Drosophila melanogaster: one gene and its partners. The protein of the gene in region 1 purifies or fractionates together with the protein of each later gene. This does not show direct contact. Each region holds a gene or a part of one and is shown in the gene's direction. Other genes may lie near its edges.

The links.
Region 2: the proteins of Syp (region 1) and stau purify together in Drosophila melanogaster (affinity purification with western blotting; one study listed by BioGRID). This does not show direct contact.
Region 3: the proteins of Syp (region 1) and sqd purify together in Drosophila melanogaster (affinity purification with western blotting, with the first as the bait; one study listed by BioGRID). This does not show direct contact.
Region 4: the proteins of Syp (region 1) and Hrb27C purify together in Drosophila melanogaster (affinity purification with western blotting, with the first as the bait; one study listed by BioGRID). This does not show direct contact.

What each region holds. Positions count from the first base shown.
Region 1 is NT_033777.3:20,788,369-20,793,021, forward strand, and holds the start of Syp (syncrip), read left to right. Parts: upstream 1-1,617; 5' UTR 1,618-1,840; coding exon 1,841-1,964; intron 1,965-3,376; coding exon 3,377-3,495; intron 3,496-3,568; coding exon 3,569-3,881; intron 3,882-3,945; coding exon 3,946-4,187; intron 4,188-4,653.
Region 2 is NT_033778.4:18,122,726-18,127,653, reverse strand, and holds the start of stau (staufen), read left to right. Parts: upstream 1-1,874; 5' UTR 1,875-2,099; intron 2,100-2,726; 5' UTR 2,727-2,775; coding exon 2,776-2,960; intron 2,961-3,780; exon of another isoform or gene 3,781-3,909; intron 3,910-4,791; coding exon 4,792-4,928. Other genes in the region: Spn55B (serpin 55B), read right to left, coding at 357-1,214. UniProt on the Drosophila melanogaster protein: RNA-binding protein which forms ribonucleoprotein complexes (RNPs) that play critical roles in the localization, translational repression and turnover of RNAs during embryogenesis, neurotransmission and neurogenesis.
Region 3 is NT_033777.3:13,643,257-13,648,305, reverse strand, and holds the start of sqd (squid), read left to right. Parts: upstream 1-2,001; 5' UTR 2,002-2,386; coding exon 2,387-2,553; intron 2,554-3,735; exon of another isoform or gene 3,736-3,947; intron 3,948-5,049. UniProt on the Drosophila melanogaster protein: Component of ribonucleosomes. Could be needed to organize a concentration gradient of a dorsalizing morphogen (Dm) originating in the germinal vesicle. At least one of the isoforms is essential in somatic tissues.
Region 4 is NT_033779.5:6,918,763-6,923,755, forward strand, and holds the start of Hrb27C (heterogeneous nuclear ribonucleoprotein at 27C), read left to right. Parts: upstream 1-1,941; 5' UTR 1,942-2,099; intron 2,100-2,203; exon of another isoform or gene 2,204-2,311; intron 2,312-2,497; exon of another isoform or gene 2,498-2,678; intron 2,679-2,876; exon of another isoform or gene 2,877-3,036; intron 3,037-3,968; exon of another isoform or gene 3,969-3,972; 5' UTR 3,973-4,064; intron 4,065-4,993. Other genes in the region: x16 splicing factor, read right to left, coding at 762-1,180. UniProt on the Drosophila melanogaster protein: This protein is a component of ribonucleosomes. Could be needed to organize a concentration gradient of a dorsalizing morphogen (Dm) originating in the germinal vesicle.

The sequences.
Region 1 (4,653 bases):
TTAAATGGCTAGGGCTTCTTGAAATTCAAATTGCGAAAGCACAAACTTTAACACTTCCTCAATGCCACGGCGAGCAACCCCTGGACTATAGCCAGCCGCCACCATCCTAAAGATACTCATAGTTTCTGCAGTCTACAGTCAGTCTGGCTTCGGTTGACAGAAACAGGGGCGGAGTTGCCAATTTGCCATTGGGGAGATCTTGTAATTCTAGACCAGACTGCTGCCGGCGGCGACGTATTGTCTGGCAGACGGACGCGAGTGACGAACAAATGTGGCAAAACGATTTATTTGGCTTTATCAGCAATTTTTGATTCTCCTTTGTCTCCCATTGAAAAAGCGCCGCATTAAGTGCTCCGCCTGCGTTTGCGGCGATTTGTCATATCGCTGATTTACTAACCTTACACCAGGCATTATCTCTTGGCAAAGGAGGCCGAATCCGAATCCGAGTCCGGAATGGCGGGGGAGAGGTGGAATCCGGGGCGAATCACCCCTGCTAGCAGCTAGAGGGTGACTTTTTCTGTTTTTTTTTTTTTTTTTTTTATACAACCGAGGGTGTAACTAACCGACACAAGTGCAAGAAGGCAGGATATGCCAGGATATGCATGTGTGTATGTATGGCTGGCTGTGTATGTTTGCGCATATCGCCGGCATCAACATCAAATTTATTGAGGTAGTTGCCAAGCGGCTCTGGCAAACAAAACGAGCATGCAAAAAGGAATGTTCTTTAACATGCAAACGTTTCTTTGTTTTTCCCCCATTTTAGCCGTGCTTCTATTTTTTCTGTACGAGTATATGCATGGGACAGAGTTGCCACCGCTGGGGCAAACAAGCGGCGACTACCCTGTTGCCATAACAAACATGCATAAAAAATGATGACTCGGGCTGGAAAAAAAAAGCACACACACAGTCCGGCAAGTGTTGCAAATTGAAAGCGGTTTTAGGCCAGGAGCCGTCACCTGAATAGCTTTGAGTTCGGGAGACCCAAGAATAAAGACTTAAATTGGCTGTGGTATGTGGCCAGTCATCCTGTTTTTTTTTTTGTTCAGTATGCACTTCCATATGCCATAGAAGCATTAGCATGGCAACTCAGCGTATAAGGAATACCATTTTATCGATATTTCACTGCAATCCTAATGGAATTTCCTGCATTGTTGTCTACTCCTTTCGACTGGCTCAATATCCATTGCCCATGTGTTTATTATTCATTTACTCGCTGTGCGCCGATAAAGCGCTTTTCCTGATTTTCCCGCCTTTCTCGCATCGCCAGCGCAACTTCATGACGCTCCCCCGGTGTTTGCCCTTTTGTGGGCTTCCCTGCGGTTGTCGCCAACACTTTTCACTTACAGCTCGCTGCGTTTTCGCGCCCAACAATCTAGATATACATACATGCATATAAATACATAGTATTTATGTGTTGGAGGGGCCTAGATAATGGGATATGTTTTTGTTGTTACTGGTTGACTGGTTCCGCTTATTGTTATAGTTGTCATAGCGCACATGGCATTCTGATGGCCCCACTGCAGTTGTCATAAATTTGTGGTCTTAATACTTGCACCACACCATTTTCAGGATTGCCACCTCAACAAAGTGGGTTCGGTTCGGTAACCCTTTCTAAATATCGATGCGTAGTTGGCCCTGCTGGGCGATTGTCAAAAGTTATTCCGTAATGTTTTTTGTTTCTATTCAGTTGTGAAAATTTTTCTCGTCTCTCGAATCGTTTCGGAACTATTGATTTTTACTTCAAAAATAAGAAAAAGCGAAAACAAATTCATTCACATTTGCAATCGAAATTCCAAGTCGCCTAAGGAAATTGAAAATTGTTAAATTGTTGCATTACGCGATGCTTTCCCAGATGGAAGCCTCCAAAGTGCAGAAGGATGAAGGGGGCGGCGAGGCTCTGAGCCGCACGATCCTCAAAACACCGTCTTCATTCAGGACCCCCAGCCCAATTCCCAGTTGCAGCAGTGAGTATTCCACGCCGCTGCAAAACACCCAATTGCCCCCGATATCAATCGCAAAGTATTTCAATGTCAGCGAAAACGAATCGAATGCCGGAGAATTAATGCGAAATTCGCAGAATGCCAGTGGAGAGAGCAGCAACAAACAGAAAAGATTTTAGAAATGTTCGGGTTTGCCCATAATTTTTGTGGGTCGCGCTCTATCGCTGGTTTGGCTCTCCCATTCTTGAACGATAGAGCTAGCTGATATTGCTGCTGTTTTTTTTTGTTTTTGTTTTTTTTTTTTTGCACATGTTACGCAATTATCGCTCTCGGCTAGTTGGGGTCCCTCGTTTTTATTTTTGCAGCTTGCTTCGTTTTTGTTTGAACGTCAAACACACACAACTTTCTATATGTATGTATGTACATACACATCGTACATATATATAATATACATACGAATATACGTGTACACGCGAATCAAAATAGCATTTGCTGATAGTGTGGCTGCTAAGGTAGCTTTCTATGCTGCGGCCTGTATAGGTGAGCGTTTGCCACTTGACAACTGTGGAACATTTGCATTTTCATTATGAGTGTGCCATAAATATTCATTTATGATAAATGCCTGTGTGCAGCTGCGGCTGCAATTGCAACGAAAGCGAACAGCTCTTGTTTCCGCAGCTCAACTGAATTTAGCCACGGAACAGATCATAAATAAATGTATTAGGCTGATTTAACATAGCAAATCACGTATACTACTACTTTTAGTCAATAAAACTACTAATACTAATCCAAGTCTAAAGTCCAGTAGCTTCAAACACGGCAAAAAGTGAACCCACTAGATTCATCAGCTGTTACCAGGGCAACTAATACGTCACGCTCTTGTGAGCGTGGCCGAACACATCGCGTATACGCAACACGTCACGCACAATTCGCAAATCGCGCCTCTTTTCGTTTGTTTACATTTTGGCCAATACGTTTTCATGCGGCTCCCTCTTTCTCTTCTCGTTTGCCTTTCTCCTTCTCTTGCCTTTCTCACGCACTTTTCGGTGCTCGGATGCGCGCTCTTCTGGATCGCAAATTTGTGCGTTTCGCATTTGTTTGGAGTCAATGAACTTTGTTGCTCGCTTTGTTGTCTCCTCTCTCTCCCATGCTCCCTGCTTTATCGCACTCCCCGTTTATCTCATTCCGCGAGTGCGTGCGACGGTGCGTAAGTTGCCAATTTTTCGTATTTCTCGTATTTCGCACATTCTCGCGACCCATTTTTTACCAAGCGCTCGCCGTTTGTGGCTATTTTGCGTTCGTTGAACTCTACAAGGTGATTTTATAGGTCGCACAATTTGTGGGTGCTCACTTGAATGTATGTTTCAAGAATATTAATATTTATGTATAAATACTCAATATATATTTATAACATTTTATTATCGTTGCACTTGCAGAAATGGCGGAAGGTAATGGCGAACTGTTGGATGACATTAACCAGAAAGCCGATGACCGTGGCGATGGCGAGCGTACAGAGGATTATCCCAAGCTGCTGGAATACGGTCTGGACAAGAAGGTGAGTGCTTTGAGAACCCAACACCACATGCCAACTATTACCAACATTTGCCACATGCAACATATGCTCCTAGGTCGCCGGCAAACTGGATGAGATCTACAAAACCGGCAAGTTGGCTCACGCCGAGCTGGACGAGCGCGCCCTGGACGCGCTCAAGGAGTTTCCCGTCGATGGTGCCTTGAATGTGTTGGGACAGTTCCTGGAATCGAACCTGGAGCACGTGTCAAACAAGTCCGCCTACCTATGCGGCGTGATGAAGACGTACCGACAGAAGAGTCGAGCCAGCCAACAGGGCGTGGCCGCGCCCGCAACTGTCAAAGGTCCCGACGAGGACAAGATCAAGAAAATCCTCGAGCGCACCGGCTACACATTAGATGTGACGACAGGTGAGAAACATTTTCAAGTACTGGAGAAACTTTTATCTAATACTATTACTTATACCGTACTCAGGTCAGCGTAAATACGGCGGACCGCCGCCGCATTGGGAGGGAAATGTGCCAGGCAACGGTTGCGAGGTTTTCTGCGGCAAGATACCCAAGGACATGTACGAGGACGAACTGATTCCGCTATTCGAGAACTGCGGCATAATCTGGGACCTACGACTCATGATGGACCCGATGACGGGCACAAATCGTGGTTATGCATTTGTCACATTCACAAATCGCGAAGCGGCCGTCAATGCAGTGCGACAGGTATTTAAGCCAACCACAGATCATCCATACCACCAACCACCAGTCCAGCCCAGCCCAGCCCACCTGAAAACCCAGTCTCCCCAATGAAAACCCCACCCCATCCGACCCTGACCACCAAATCAGTTTGATCCCCGCTTCAATGTTTTTACGTATTGCTAACTCTTAAGACCTATACAAATATCCTATATATATACATATTTAACGTATTGTATCCACATATTTACTATCGTGTTATAACACATCGGATGAAGTAGGAACAGTTATGCGGCCAAAGCAAAATTCAAATATTTGAAATTCTCCACAGCAAGAGCGAAAAATTACCGATTTGATCACAACCGATTTGGCGCTTTTAGATCCGACCATGAGAAATTCTGCAATTCCATTTAGTTTTTAACGTATGCTTACTTTACCTCTCTGCCTTTGCTATTAAGAATTCGAACTATGGGCAACGCTATCTGTCTCACTC
Region 2 (4,928 bases), on another chromosome or scaffold:
AGCTCATTTTGGTTATCTAAGACATTTCTACCCTACCGTCGATAAGCTACTAAAAATAATACATATGTACATCAATAGACGGAATTTTAGAGATAAGTGGGCAATAAATATTTTTGTGGGCGGTTTGCAGCACTGCAACGTGTCCATAAAATTGAATTCTGGATTTTATGGAGAAATTTATTGAGCTACTGCTATTAATAACTCCAAACTTCACCTTAAGCACGCAACATCAAATGGAGGTCAAGGAACTGTGTTATATAAAAACAAAAGCTGACCCCAAATGGAGCTTAATTGTGGCATAAATTGGGTGGAACAATCAACCCCCCCCACCCCCAAAAAAAAAAAATAATATGTACCTGCTTCAGTTTCTCGGCCAATTCCAGGGAGTAGTCCACCTTAAACTTGGGGAACTTGACATGGACCTCTTCCACGGTCAACTTGTCGGCCAAATCCACCAGGTTCACAGTCTTGAGCTTCTCGGCTAGGGCGTAAATACCTGTCCGCTCCTGCGGCAGCAGCACGAACATGGAGAGGTCAGAGTCCTGGTAGGGCATCTCCAGGGCAGTGCAGCCCAGATCTTCGAAGAAGCCATAGTTGAACTTGGCCTTCTGGTTCATGTAGTTGATTTTAACCTGCTCCTCCTCGCCCACCCAGAAGATATCCTCCTCGGTGCGCTCCTCGCTGAACTTGTGCGCCCAGCTGCCCTTGAAGTGGAGGGCATTGAGCAGGACCAGCCTGGTGTTGTCCGAGAACGAGTCCGCGCTGACCAGCTCCGTAATCTTGCCCTGAGTCTTGGCATTCACCCAGGCATTGATGGCCTGGGCGGCGGCATCGTTGAGCGCAAAGTTAATGGACTCCGCCTCCGAATGATACTGCTCCTTGATGGCCGACTGGTAGGCGGGCTTCAGCTGCTTGCCCTCCTGCACGTACAGCTTGTTGGCAACGCGCAGCAGGTTACTGTTGCGGTACTTCTCCAGCACAAACTGGAACGTTTGGGCCACCTCCGGCGGAAAGTTGGAGACGAAGTGCAGTGCCTTGGCGATCTCGTCGGCGGTTTCACCCTGCGATCCGGCAAAGGCCAGGGCAATGCAAGTTTGGATGGAGAAGGGCGAGAAGACGACGTTCTCCTTGAGCCCGCCAGCGCTCAAAAGCTGAAAAAGTTCGCTGGTGAAACGGGCACCTCCACGCGCAAATTCCAAATTGAAATCGAACATATTGACGGACTGAACTGAGTAATTGTGGGTGTGCTGCGTAATCGCGGAACTGCGTGTGCTTGCTCTCTGGTCTGCTGTCTACACCGGAATGCCTTAAATGCCATTCGGGGCCACAACAAAAGTGAAAACATCGGCCAGCCGGCGAATGAGTCACAGCCAAAATATTATCAAAACAATCGAAGCGAATTGGTGGCGTCATCATTTTCATGATCTAGCAACCTTGGGGGCATCCCCGGGTTCATCCCAAAAATAAAAGTAATAGGGCGTTCTTTAAATAGCCACTGTTTTTCAGTTTTTGTTTGTCTGATGATAAAATTCTTAAAAATATGTTTTTATTTTTAATATTATTTTGCAGTGTGACCTTAAGCATTGGCGCCTAAAAACGCTGGCTTTCTGTCCAACAAATACTAAAATACACTTGAACAGGAAAACGCATGCTGTTGTTTGTTGTTTGTAATTCAATCAATAAGCCTGTTAGTTAAATATTTCGTAATTACAGATTTAAATAATTTCGAATTAATATTTATGCCCTTTTTAAAGTTATCAATTTCGATAGGCATAAAATACCAGATCGACTATTGTGCAGCCCTGGCGCTTCTGCGCGCGCGCTTTCCAACACCGCCGTACGCAACCACCCCGCTTCCCGCTCGCCTAAAAGCCATTATTTTTCGAGTTTCATCCGCAGCCACAGTGCAAAATAGGTTTATCAATTTAATTTAAGTGTTAAAGTAGTTCTAAAGTGTTTTTTAAGTTGCGCAAACGATCGAGGCCAGCCCGCATGAATGGATGTGCATGTGTCCATCGATCGAACGGAGTATTTGCATTCAGTTGTTGTGATTTTCCCGTGACCATTGCGTACGAAAATCGTTTTGGGAGCGCAAGAAGGTGAGTTGCGTCTGCAGATCGTTATGCCACTCTCGTTTCGGATGCGGACTGGGAATCGGAATGGGGTTACGGAACGGAATGGAAGGGAAGGGAACAGAATCCATGGATGTGTGGATCTGGGTCTAGGTCTTGTTCTTGGTCTTGGTTTGGGTCTGGGTCCTTGAACCCCTGCACGGAATGCACGAAACCTGAATTGCGCACTGCAGCTGCATTTTATCCGATTTCACCAAGAACACACAGAGGCATAAGGCAACCGGAGGGCCGTAAGAACCAGAAAAGTGCAACCAGGAGTGGTTGCTTGGCATCGGCAACGAATCAGTCGATTTGAACCCTTCTACCCGCCGCCTGTCACAATTTGATTTAGGCCGATGTCGTCGCTTCAGTTGCATTTCTATGTATATATATATATATATACGCATATATGTATGCACACACATATGTATGTATGTATATAGGTAGATACGTGTGCACCATGTCCATTTGCATTTCGCATTTATATGCCCCGCATGCAGTTGCAACTTGTTTACGCACAATCGCCGCACAAAGAAACACCTCCAGGGCCCTTTGTGCGGACAGGGAAAACATTGTTTGTGTCCGTCTCATCCATGTTCCTTTTCCTCCTTGCAGCTGCGGTCGCTGGTTCATACGGGAGTCCTAAAGGTTACAGCTCAAGAAAATGCAGCACAACGTTCATGCCGCCCGGCCAGCGCCCCACATCCGAGCTGCGCACCATCACAGCCACAGCCATGCCCACATGCATCTGCATCCCGGCATGGAGCAGCACCTGGGCCCCAGTCTTCAGCAGCAACAGCAGCCGCCACCGCCGCCCCAGCAGCCTCCACATCGCGACCTCCACGCACGGTAAGCCATCTATGTCGTTGACGCTATCAGGAATAACAATTAAACCAGATAATGCTTCATCCTTCAGTCAAATAAGAGTAGTATCAGTTTATTAAATTGTGATACCTTTTGGAGTTCGGTTCCAATTTAGCAGTTCTAACTATGTTTGGAGTTAAACAAGATGGTACGCCTTGTTGGTTCAGTTTGTTTTCGGAAATGGTTATCATCCCCTTCATTCAATCGAAACTCCATGTAAACAAGAAGGGGTAACATGGGTTAAATAGGTTTTCCAAGTCTAGAAGAATTCCCATCTATCTATGTACAGGAAGGAACTTTTAGATAGGTGTGTTATTAATATGGGATAACATCTTATAGAGTTTCCTAATCTAGATCGAGATCTCAGTATAAATTGTTTAGGCAATAATGTACCACTAGCCACTGGTTGGATCTCATGGACTCAGTGTGAATCTCAGGTGAGGAAAATGTATCTCCCTGGCTTGGTTGGATCCTAGAGAGATTCCACATCGACTCGAAACGCCAGCTTGTCTGAGCTTTATGCGTTGCGGCAATTATGTTAATTCCTGTCACTGACAATTGGTGTGAGACTCATCATCCCATTTTCTCAACTCATAAATTATAATTTCAGTGGCTCTTTGTTCTTTCGCGCTCAGCATGACTTCCGCTCGATGATAACGGGTTTGCCCTGCCGACTGCGCTGCAATTATCCTTGACGTTCGCGAGTATCCTTCGGCTCGGCCTCCAGTAGTTCAGGCTCCTCGTATTGTCTACGATCATATGTTTCGCCAAACTCTCTGCAAACTGCTCATCCAGTTCCGCATTCAGTTGCGTTTTGCCTGCCGGTCGGATCGGGTCGCACATGAATTTATTACCGACGTTCGCTGATTCTAACGTACATTTGCGTACGATCTTTTAACGATCATGATAGACTTTCATCAGTGCCAAGTGAGAGGTGAAATATGCAAGAAGATTAAAGTTATAGAAACTGAAGCGGGATCTAATAAGTTCGCAAGACAATAAATTAAAGAACTCGTAAAGATAAGAGATGAGATTTTGCAAATGAAATCAAATCCTCTTAACCATATAACTTGCAAGTGAAAGGTACGAAAGGAATAAACTTCAGATATTACTACAGATTTGTATTAGCCTGAAATATGGATTATCACATTGCTCAGACTTGTTTTCAAAAAAGAGTGTCCATAAACATTAAGAGCATTCAATTAATTACCTTTCCCTTACGCAGGACATTTTTATCGCATATCAACTGATCCTAATCACAAATTGCCCATATCAATGTTAATTTGAAGGCTTGTTTCCGTACTGATTTAGCGATTATAAATTGCCAAAAATATTTCCTTGTCTTGTGAAATGTACGAGGCTGTAGGTAAAGGTCGCTAGAGTGCTCTCCTACCCTCGATCATTGGGAAAGGAAAGGTAGGGAGCGGTTGCAGGAGCAGGGTGTCGCAGTAGGTGCGTCTCAATTGAAACTGACAGTTGGCGAAAAATGACACGATGCGTAAGAGAATGCGGCTTTTGTGCTTTGTTAGGATTTTGTCCATTGTTCGGCGTGGTCGCTGTTGTCTGCTATTCCGCAGGAACAACAACATACGGCAGAGGGTTGGGGGGGGCCACGAAGCTTCTAGGACCTCTCTCGTTGGTGTTTTTGTTTTTCCCGTGCGCCAGTCGATGTACACTTTTGTCTCGATGGCCTCTATAATCCTCTTGGTGTGCATTGTTTGCTGATATAACCGCAGAAGCCAGCGCATCCGCCCCAGGAGCTCTTACTTGTGGCCATCGATTAACCAATTTGCTTGCTCTATCCTCCGTTTTGCAGTCTGAATCATCACCATCTCCACGCTCAGCAGCAGCAGCAGCAACAGACGTCGTCGAACCAAGCCGGCGCCGTCGCTGCGGCTGGGGCTGCCTATCACCACGGCAACATCAACAGCAACAGCGGCAGCAACATCTCCA
Region 3 (5,049 bases), 7.1 Mb from region 1:
AGCTGTCAGGAAAAATTCCAATTTGCTTGCCGTCGCAGGACATTTAACCCTGCACGTGCTCCAGCTTTTATGCCTGCGATCCTGGCTGACTGAACTTTGCACGTGTGTGTGTGTGCGCGAGTAAATGACCTCATACAATTTGGCAAAGAAAAAAAAGAAGCCGCCAAGCGAGGAGCATGAATTAAATTGAGGTTATGTTCGGGTCTCAAGGTTGTGGCGCCGCATACAATGAACTCCAGCTTGGCCAAAATATCAAATTGCTGCCTTGCAAAAACACTTGAAATAGCGTTAAAAGGTGTAAGTAAATATCAATGTTTGCAGGTGTCCTTTGCCCCATTTTAGCCATAAACATTTGCCGATAAAACAAAAAATGCACAATGAGTTGCGGCAAACCCACACGCACACATATTCGGTTATGAACGCGCCGCTCTTTCGGGTTCTCTCTTTCCCACTCTATTTCTGCTTGCGAACCGCGTGTGTAGGAAGAACAAAGAAAGCTATAGTTGAAGAGCAGCATTTAAACAAAAATGTACAAAAACAAAATTTTTCGTACATTTTTAGGTTATGCACAAGCGATAATAAAAAAAGCCGCTAAAATGGTAAAAAAAAAAATTTAAGAGATAGAGCCCTGCCGCAATAATAAAATATACGCCCATTTAGCATTTTTTATGTTGATTTTTTCCTAGTATGCGCCACCCCTTTGAAAATGGAAAATGCTAGTTTTTCTAGACCGCGCACACGAGGCCGTCGCCGGCTCACCTTTTTTAAGCGATATTTTTCCTCGTTTTTATTTTTCCTTTTTGTAATGCACAGTGTGTATTGCTTTTGGGTTGAAGTTTGCCGAAAAATCGGCACTTTTTGTAGCACTTTTCTTTGTTATCTTCCTGCGGGGGGCGGGGAGAGTTGGATTTCTTAGTGGAGCGCTGAAATTATGCGGTTTTTTTAATTTACAAAACGATAGTCGAAACGTATGAAATGCAGTATAAAATTGCAAGCTGCACACAAAACACACAGCCACACACACCAATGCACTCACTCGCTCACACACACACACTAGTCTAGTTTGTTGCAATTCTTTTTGTCTTTTTTTTTGAGAATAACTAACTTGGCAATTCTTGACGTGTATTTTTTGTTGCTTTCTGATGTTTGGCGATCACAGTTGTTGTTGAATTAAGTTACGATGCATATGTTGTGGCTTTTGAGTAGAAAATAATCGCAAACGCAATGAAATTGGACAAGTGTGTTGAATCGAGAAGAGAACCGACGTTCGTTCCTCTTTTCCTCTTTTTTGCCTCTGCACAGTTTTATTCTTGGTTTCGCGTGTGTTGGTGTGTGAATGATGGCGGCTTTTCCAAGGGTGTGCACACACTTCTTTTTTTGGGGTGGTTAATCTAGTATGTTCCATAGAATATTTTGATGAATTTGATATTTTCATATTTGAGCTCAATTAAGCTCATTTTAGGGGCGCTAAGTTTCTTTTAAATAGTTTTATAAAACTTATTTTCATTTTAGCCATTTCCGATTTTTTGAGTAAGCTCATGAAACACCTTTCTTTAAAGGAAACATTTTATATAGCAAATAAATAAAAACCATAATAACGTTATATTATAACCTGTTGGGAAATCCGAATATGAAAATTGTATAAATTTTTGCAAAAAATAAAAATATTTAATATAAACCAATTAAATGATTTAAAATATTGTTGATGTTTCAGCCTATAAGAAGTTAATATGAAAATTCGATTTTAAACAATTCTTTGTATGTAAATGTTGTTTTCGTTCCCAACACATAGTAAATAATGAACATTGTATTTTTTATATTTATAAAATTATAAATGTTTATGAAATACTTAATATTTATTTAAATATTTAAACCTTTAATACAACTAAAATGAATTTATAAACCAAGTAACTTGTCCATTGTGTAAACTGGGCTTTAAAATATTTGTATAAAATTTTTGGTATTCTTTTCATTTTCTCTTCATAGGTGTGTGTACATTGTATAAATCAAAGCTGCCATACTGCAAGCAGACAAGTCACGCGCCCATTTAGCTCCTTATATAGGCTTATTTGGGGTGGTATCGTACAGAAAATCCCAATTTAATCCTTGGCAAATGTATAGCTAACAATCTCCAGGTAGAGCAAGCAAATACAATACAAATATTTACCAAAATAATACCAAATCGACTTGACTGGGAAAACATCAAGGTGGCAACGCCGCACCCATATACACACGCTGTCGTTTGCATTTATCATTTTCCGGTCGTCATTTCATTCGTACGCGCGACTTTTTGGCGAGTGTGTATAAAAATCTCCGGCTCTGCGTAAAAAACGAATATCGTGCTGCCTAGCCCCCGAAATTAGTAGATCAGTCGAAAACACACAAAATGGCCGAGAACAAGCAAGTGGATACAGAAATAAACGGCGAGGATTTCACCAAGGACGTGACTGCCGACGGTCCGGGATCTGAAAATGGTGATGCGGGCGCCGCCGGCTCGACCAACGGCAGTTCGGACAACCAATCGGCCGCATCCGGCCAGCGGGACGACGACAGGTATGTCCATTATCCGGCGGATACGTTTTTTTTTTGTTCTTTTTTATTTTTGCAACGGGCAACCGATGATCATGTGCCCCCCATAGATTTTCTGCTTCTACATAGTGTATATTGCCTACTCTGTTACGTAAATGCAAAGCTAACGTCGTTGGTCGAGTTTCATTGGATTTTACGGGGTTCTGCGGGGGAAGTCTGACCCCTTTTGTGTTCTCTCTCGCTTGCGCTCGTGCGTCGGAGTGTGTTTAAGTGTGTGTGTGTGAGGTGTCGGTGCGACTGTACTTCAGTCATATTAATAGAATCTTCGGGCCAAAATGCATCATCACAGTCTCGGGAGACATGGAAAATTTTCAACGTTTTCCCCTGCACACACACGCACTTTCCGCAATGAAAACCAGAGTTTTCTTAAGCTAGGAGCACATTTTCTCCCCTTTGTGAGGTTATGTTTGTTTCCCACGTTGCCCCACAGACACACTGTGACGCATACGAACACAAATCATACGGTTGCCTTTCACTTGCAAAAAATGTGGCGAAAAAAAACGTTGGAAAAAGTTATGTTTGTATTTGTCAGTGTATTCTTTTTAATTCGCATTACTCTTTGTTTCGGCTATTTCGTTGTTATTTTGTGCTCTTCCAGTTTTGTACCCAAAATGGCGGCTGCATACAGGCATACATACCAACCTAACGCCCGCTGTTCTGTAGGTGTGTGCGTGTTTTGCAGTTTTCACTTATTCTCTTGCTTGCCGGCTTCGCTCGCTCGCCACCTCTTTTGCGCGCTCTTACTCTCAGAGAGCGACAGCCGGCGTTGTTTGGAGTTGCCAAGGCGCCAAAATATTAATTTAACGAACAATTAATGTAAATTATAAATGATAAATAATTTTGATGGATTAAAGCATAGAGATAATGATGATCAAGTAGAATGGTCCTCTTGTTTGCTCCCCTGCGTTTTGGTTTTTAGGTCTAGCGTACACTTCATTTGCCCATCCTTTATGATCATTTTATATCTAAGTTTAATCTTAAGTCACACGATACTGTACATTTAAACGATAATACGAAACCAGCGCTGACGAAGCAGATGCAGATTATTCCCCGTAAAGGAAGAAGGACGAAATGGAGAAATTAAATCGAAAATCATAGCTTATCCTGTTGTCTTGTGAGCGAACTAACCTTGTTCCTCTCCGGCAGGTTTTGAGAGAAGTGAAATGCCCCAGGTCAGGGTTTTAAGCTATGCTCAAGACGGATATGGATTCGGATATGGATTTGGATTCGTATTCCTGCCCCCGGCAAACGGTTACGGATTCGGATTCGGATTCGGCGGACTTATACTTGGAGGATATGCAACCCTCTCCACACTCCAGTCTCCAAAAGTCTCCGCTCCGCCGATACTGATGCTGATGGTATTTATCTATCCAAAACTAAAACAAACAAACAATCAGTCAGTCAGCCAATATATAGAACTATCAACACACAAAATTATCAAGAAATAATCTCGATTTAAAATTGGATCCATATGTAAACTGTATACGAGTATATATTGTATTGTATCTCTTAACGTATAACTTGTAAATTACCTAAAAAAAAAAGAAAAACAAAAAAGTACCAAGTAATCGGAGACAGAGAGAGACCGAGTGAAAAAGAGACTCGCAGTTTTTTCGTTTTGTTTTATGAAGCTCAAAAACTATACATTATATATCGCCCGAAGAAAGAAACACAATGAACGAATGTAACGTAACGAATTGCCACAAAAAAGAAGCACAAATCACTAAATTGCAATCGAAATTCCGCCGCCGTGTGATGAGACTGTTCCAAATTTGCCGGGAATCCGCCGAGAACGATGAGATATCTTTCCAAAAAGTCCAGAAATCAATGAGTAACGTACACATCATAGTAAACTATAAGTGTCTGCATATTTTTTCAACATTCCTTTTTATAAAAAAAAAAAAATATAAAATAAAATAAACAGCCAAATAAAGAAAGTAAAACTAACCACAATCCAGCATAAAAACCTTTGCATTCTTTTCTCTCATCCTATTGAATAAAGACTAATTGTTAATTGTTATTTGTACAGACAAAGACTCTTAAGCATACCCAAAACAAAAACTTAATAATTCACTCTTGCATATCTTATATATACTATATATCTATATCTTTCGCTCGTTTTGTGTCTCTCGATCGATCGCTCGCTCGCTCCTCGAACTCTTTCGCTCATTCCGAGTTTGCAAGTATTTTGACACTATCCGATCAATTCTTTGATTGCAATACAGTAACTAAAGCAATTTTTCACTTCAAATTTGGTGAGTTTTTTTTATTCGTTTTGTATTCTTGCCCAGTCATCAAATTCTTTTGCAGCCAATACGAAAATCAGTAAGAGAAGAAAAAATTTAAAGTAAATTAAGAAAGTATTTGCCTCGCGCATCAAACACAACCTATTTTTCGTGCCTGATTTTCCCAGATAAACCTTTTCCTACCAAAATATTTCCCTAAATCTATATTGAAATG
Region 4 (4,993 bases), on another chromosome or scaffold:
ACGGCGTTGCCACTTGGTTCGCGCATAACAGCACCACTGTAATTAATTCACCACGAACGTAAAAGCGCGGGGAAAATAGCGTAGGAGGGTGTCTTGCAGCCGCCTGCTACCCTTTTGTTTACCACTTATTTTAATTTGTCTATTTCTAATCAAATCAATCAAACTTTAATATCAATATTAAATATATTAGAGGACTTCGCTAAATCATTGTCACGTAACTATTTGTAAGCTTTTGTGCAATTTACGGACAAATTCTTGTGCTCAAGAGTATAAAATATATATATTTTATATATTTATTAATCACGAAAGTGTTTACATTTTTACAATATATTAGACTTATAATAGTCTATATAATAGACTTAAAAACAAAATTCTGTTATTACTATCTGAATAGATAACTACTGTTGTCAAGCATGATTTTGTTAGACAATTGTAGAAGCTATATACTTCTCATATCGATATTAATGGGTATGCCACCCGAGCACGTGTGCGTGCTGTTATGGTACAGAACTACTTCATGCGCTGGGATTAACAGCACTCATTGCGCATAACAGCACGCTGTTAGTTTTAACAGGCGACAGAGGTGCCCAAACAAACTCAACATTTTTGCATGCGCATACACACAAGCATGCATGTATGTATGTATGCGTTTGTTTGTATGTATGCCTTTCTCTCGCCATGTTACAAAAAGCAAGAAGTTTTTGGCAACGACAATGAATGAAAAATTGAAATGGCGAATTGCAAATGCGAATTGCGCTTACCTGCGTCGCTGCCTGGCCTTCCTTTCGCGACAGTGGCGAGCGAAATGCCCCCGTCCGCCGCACTCGTAGCACTTATCGTCCCCACGACCACCGCCGCCTCGGTCGCGTCCTCCGAGTCCTCCACCACCACCGCCTCCACCACCTCCGCCACCACCACCGCCGGACCTAGCATACTTTCCGGTGGACAATTCCACACGGGCTCGGCGCCCGCAAACCGTCCGTCCGTCCAATCCGCGCACCGCATCCGCCGCATCGCGGGCACTCTCAAACTCCACGAAGGCGAAGCCCGGCGGATTGCGGGCTATCCAGACGCTGCGCAAACTGCCGTACGCTCCAAATACATACTCCAGGTCGTTCTTCCGGGCATTGTTGCCCAGATCGCCCACGTACACCTTTCTATCGCTCGGATGGCGCGACATTTCTGTTTATTTCGCTTTTCCCCGGGCCCAAATTAATGTGGCAGCAGCGCAGAAAAAAATCGATGATGGGTTGGAATCACTTGCCACCGCCTTCCTGGGCACTTTGGTCGGTCAATCGCGCACTGGCGAACACTTTTAGTCACTTAACACGGTCGGCAGATGCGAATTTTTGTGTTTATTTTCTATTTAATGCAGCGCAAAACTCATTTTACCGGGTAGCAAACAGAGTGACCGTGGACAGACCATTAAAAGAAACTGCGGACTCGCTAAAAATATACCAAAAGTTATGCTCAATCCGCGGGTAACGGTCAGCAAAAGGCGGGAGTGTCTGGCAACAATAACTTCCAGGGCCGAAAAATGAAAATCTAAATATTTCCTTTTCAACTCCTACGAAAAAAATACTCAAAATTATTTTTTCCTTTCAAAACATTCCATCCGCCTAAAGAAAGCGACTATAAAACCTTTTTTAGTATAGTACATACAAATCATATACACACATCTTATTACATTTTTCACCTTTAAGATATTATTGTACTGCACAATTACATTTTAATGTAAATAATTTATAATACATTTTTTTAACCAGTCCCCTTTAACTTCCTTTATATTTAGCCTTCGTGTTAAAAGATAGATATAAATTCGTAATTTAAATTTGTTTTCTAGTATCTGTTAGATTCAGAATATATGTGGAGTATGTTTTAGTATATTCCGTGCAACTTGAGGTATTTTTTTTGGCTGGCGGCGGTCACACAGCATTAAACGTGGCGGCGATTTATCATATAAGTTAGGTTATAATATCGTATGCATCAAAATCATACAATTATTTATAAGCTAGTTTTTTAAGGAAAAAACACTTAAATTTAGTGAATTTGCAGTGCGAAATCTTTAAAAAACCACAGACGAACACTTGGCACAAACGGTAAGAACGAAAAGCGACCGAAAATCGCATTTACATAACAATTACAGTGCTTTAACAAAATGCCTGCCTAGCCTTTCCTTTCCAAAAAAAACGCCTGAATACTTGACGCAGCTGCCATTGCTCGGTGTGCGCGTGTGTTTGTGTGTGGGGTAAAATTGGCTCGATTCGTTCGAATCGTTTCTTCGCCTTTTCGGATTTCTCGACAAACAGAGGTTTGTGCAATTTTCAGCGATTTTTCGTGCCACTTTCGGCACTCTATTTCCACCCATCAAAGTGGAAAATTTCATATTTTTATACATACATACGAAAAAATGCTATGTATAACACCACACCAACGATCACGCACACCATTGCACAGCGCTCGGCGGCCATTCGCGCACACACACGCTCTCACGCGCACACACGTACGGCCAACTCATGCACTCACACACGCCAGCAGATTGCGGTGCAAAATACAAAAATCGTGCGAAATTCGTAAAATTGCGTATTAGAAATCTTGGTTAATTTCGCTCCTATTTCTCCGGCCCGAAAGCCCAAGTGTCAAAAGTGTACCCGGCGTGAAAGTGCATTCGTGAATTAGTGAGTGCCCCATCGATTAAACCGCCTGGCTGGCCAAACAAAACGAAAAGCGTAAAAATACAGTGAAATGCGTTTGTTCCCTTTTCTAAGAACTGAGACCCAAGACATTTCTTGAGACTTCTTTGTTGTATCATTTTTCATAAGGCACGTCTTCCATTTTGTTTTTTTTTCTTCGTTGCCTTTGCCGTGGTGAATTTCCCACACACTGCCAGTGCGATTCATTCAGTTCAGTCGTGAGTACTCAGCCAGCAACAACAATAAAACATTAATCGTTTAAAGCTGGAGGAAAACTCGAAAAAGAATTGTTTGTTTTTTCTTTCGATGGAATTAACATTTATTTTGAGGGCATTGGTTTTTGGTACGTTTGCTTTTCGCTTTCCATTCGCGTTCACGTCACACATGGCGTTGCCACATGTTTTTTCACTTGTTAATGGGCAAAATGTCTGCGAAGTGCTGCCAGTAAAGAAAACGGGATTTTCTTGATAACAAAGTGAATTTAAACCCGTTGTTCATTGGCGTTTGCACAAAAATTTAAATATACTCCTGTAGATGTTTACTTGGCCCACATCTGGCTGTAATCTGTAATACCCTGGCAAATGGCGCGCAAATGTGGTGAACCGGCGACAGCTCTCTTTTCACCTTGGAAATACATAAGTTCGTTGTTCTCATTGATAGGCGGCATGTGTGCTGGTGTGTGAGTGAGGCTGGGGATTTGTTACAACAACAACAACAACAACCATTCCGCTCGTGACACAGCGAAAAGAAAACAATACTTTCACGTAGCCGTTCAAAAACGAGTGAAAGGGGATGAGAGTAGTGTTGGGGTGTCGAAGGAGGAGCAAACTTGTGAACGTGTACAAAAAGCAGTTAGACGACAAACACACATACACGTGTACGGCGGAATCTCTTCAGCTGCGTGTGTTTGTGTGTATGTGTACCGGCCGGTTGCTTCTGCCGCTTTTTTCTCTTTTTTTTTTTTGTTCCTACCTGTGCCTTTCATAATAACTATGCGTGAATTTTTTGTCATCTGACCATTTCTACCCATTCGCACCAAAGATCTTTACACAGCAAGAAATATTGTCTCCGAAGGAAATGTAAATTTAAAAAAATTTCAACCATAGCCCTGGCCTTTAATTTTAATAACGTCAGTTTGCAAATAACCAAATTAACTATTCCACCTTGTTTTTTCCTGTGTAGCAATTCGATTAACCGGATTTCTTATATTCTATGTGTATCTTTCCATGTGCCTGCAACAAAAACAAACCGACGACATCGATATTGTTACGATAGAAAGTTACGTGTGAACGTCGTGGCTTTTGTTTAATTGTTTTGAAGGAAAAAAGAACTTTGGCAACGTTGAAACCAACCTAAGATATTGCCCAAAAAGTAAGATATTGCCCAAAAGTAATTGCGGATTTTTCATATAGTCGGCGTTGACAAATTTTTTCAACGGCTTGTAACTCTGTAATTGCATTCTTTCTTTGGTCAGTTATCAGCTGTTACTTTTAGCTTCCATTAGAAAAAAAAGTGCGCGAAATTTTGTTTTTATTTGTTTGTTTGGCGTCAATTTTAATATGGAGCCCACAAAGGAGCATTTTCGTCATATCTTACTTTATTATTTCCGTAAAGGAAAAAACGCGGAGAAGGTTGCTAGAAAGTTACGAGAGATACGATGGTATGGTGATGAAGCCTTAAAAGGAAGACAGTGTCAAAATTGGTTTCGCAAATTCCGTTCTGGAGATTTTTCACTTAGAGATGAGCCACGTTCAGGCCAAATGAAGTTGATGATGACCAAATCAAAGCATTATTATTTATCGAATTAGATCGTCATGTAACTTGAGCGTGAGATAGGAGAGAAGTTAAATATACCAAAAATCAACCGTTCATTATAAAAAGTCTTGGACTGGTGAAAAAGCTTGATATTTGGGTACCACATGTATTGAAAGAAATTCATTTAACACACCGAATCAACGCTTGTGATAAGCACCTTAAACGCAATGAATTCGATCCGTTTCACTTCAATGGCTGATATCCACCAAAAGAAGGTTATGCTGTCTGTTTGGTGGTATTGGAAGGGTGTCGTATATTTTTAGCTGCTTCCAAGGAACCAAACGATTAATTCGGATGTTCGCCAGAAAGATGGCAAAAGATTATCGAACAATATATTTGATTAAAGTTCATTCGAAGTTTTATTAAAAATGCATTTACTTTCATTTACAAAATCCGCAATTACTTTTTGGACAACCCATACATAAAATACATACAAACATAAATACATAAAAAAAAACACAAAAAAAAAATACCAGCAGCAGTGT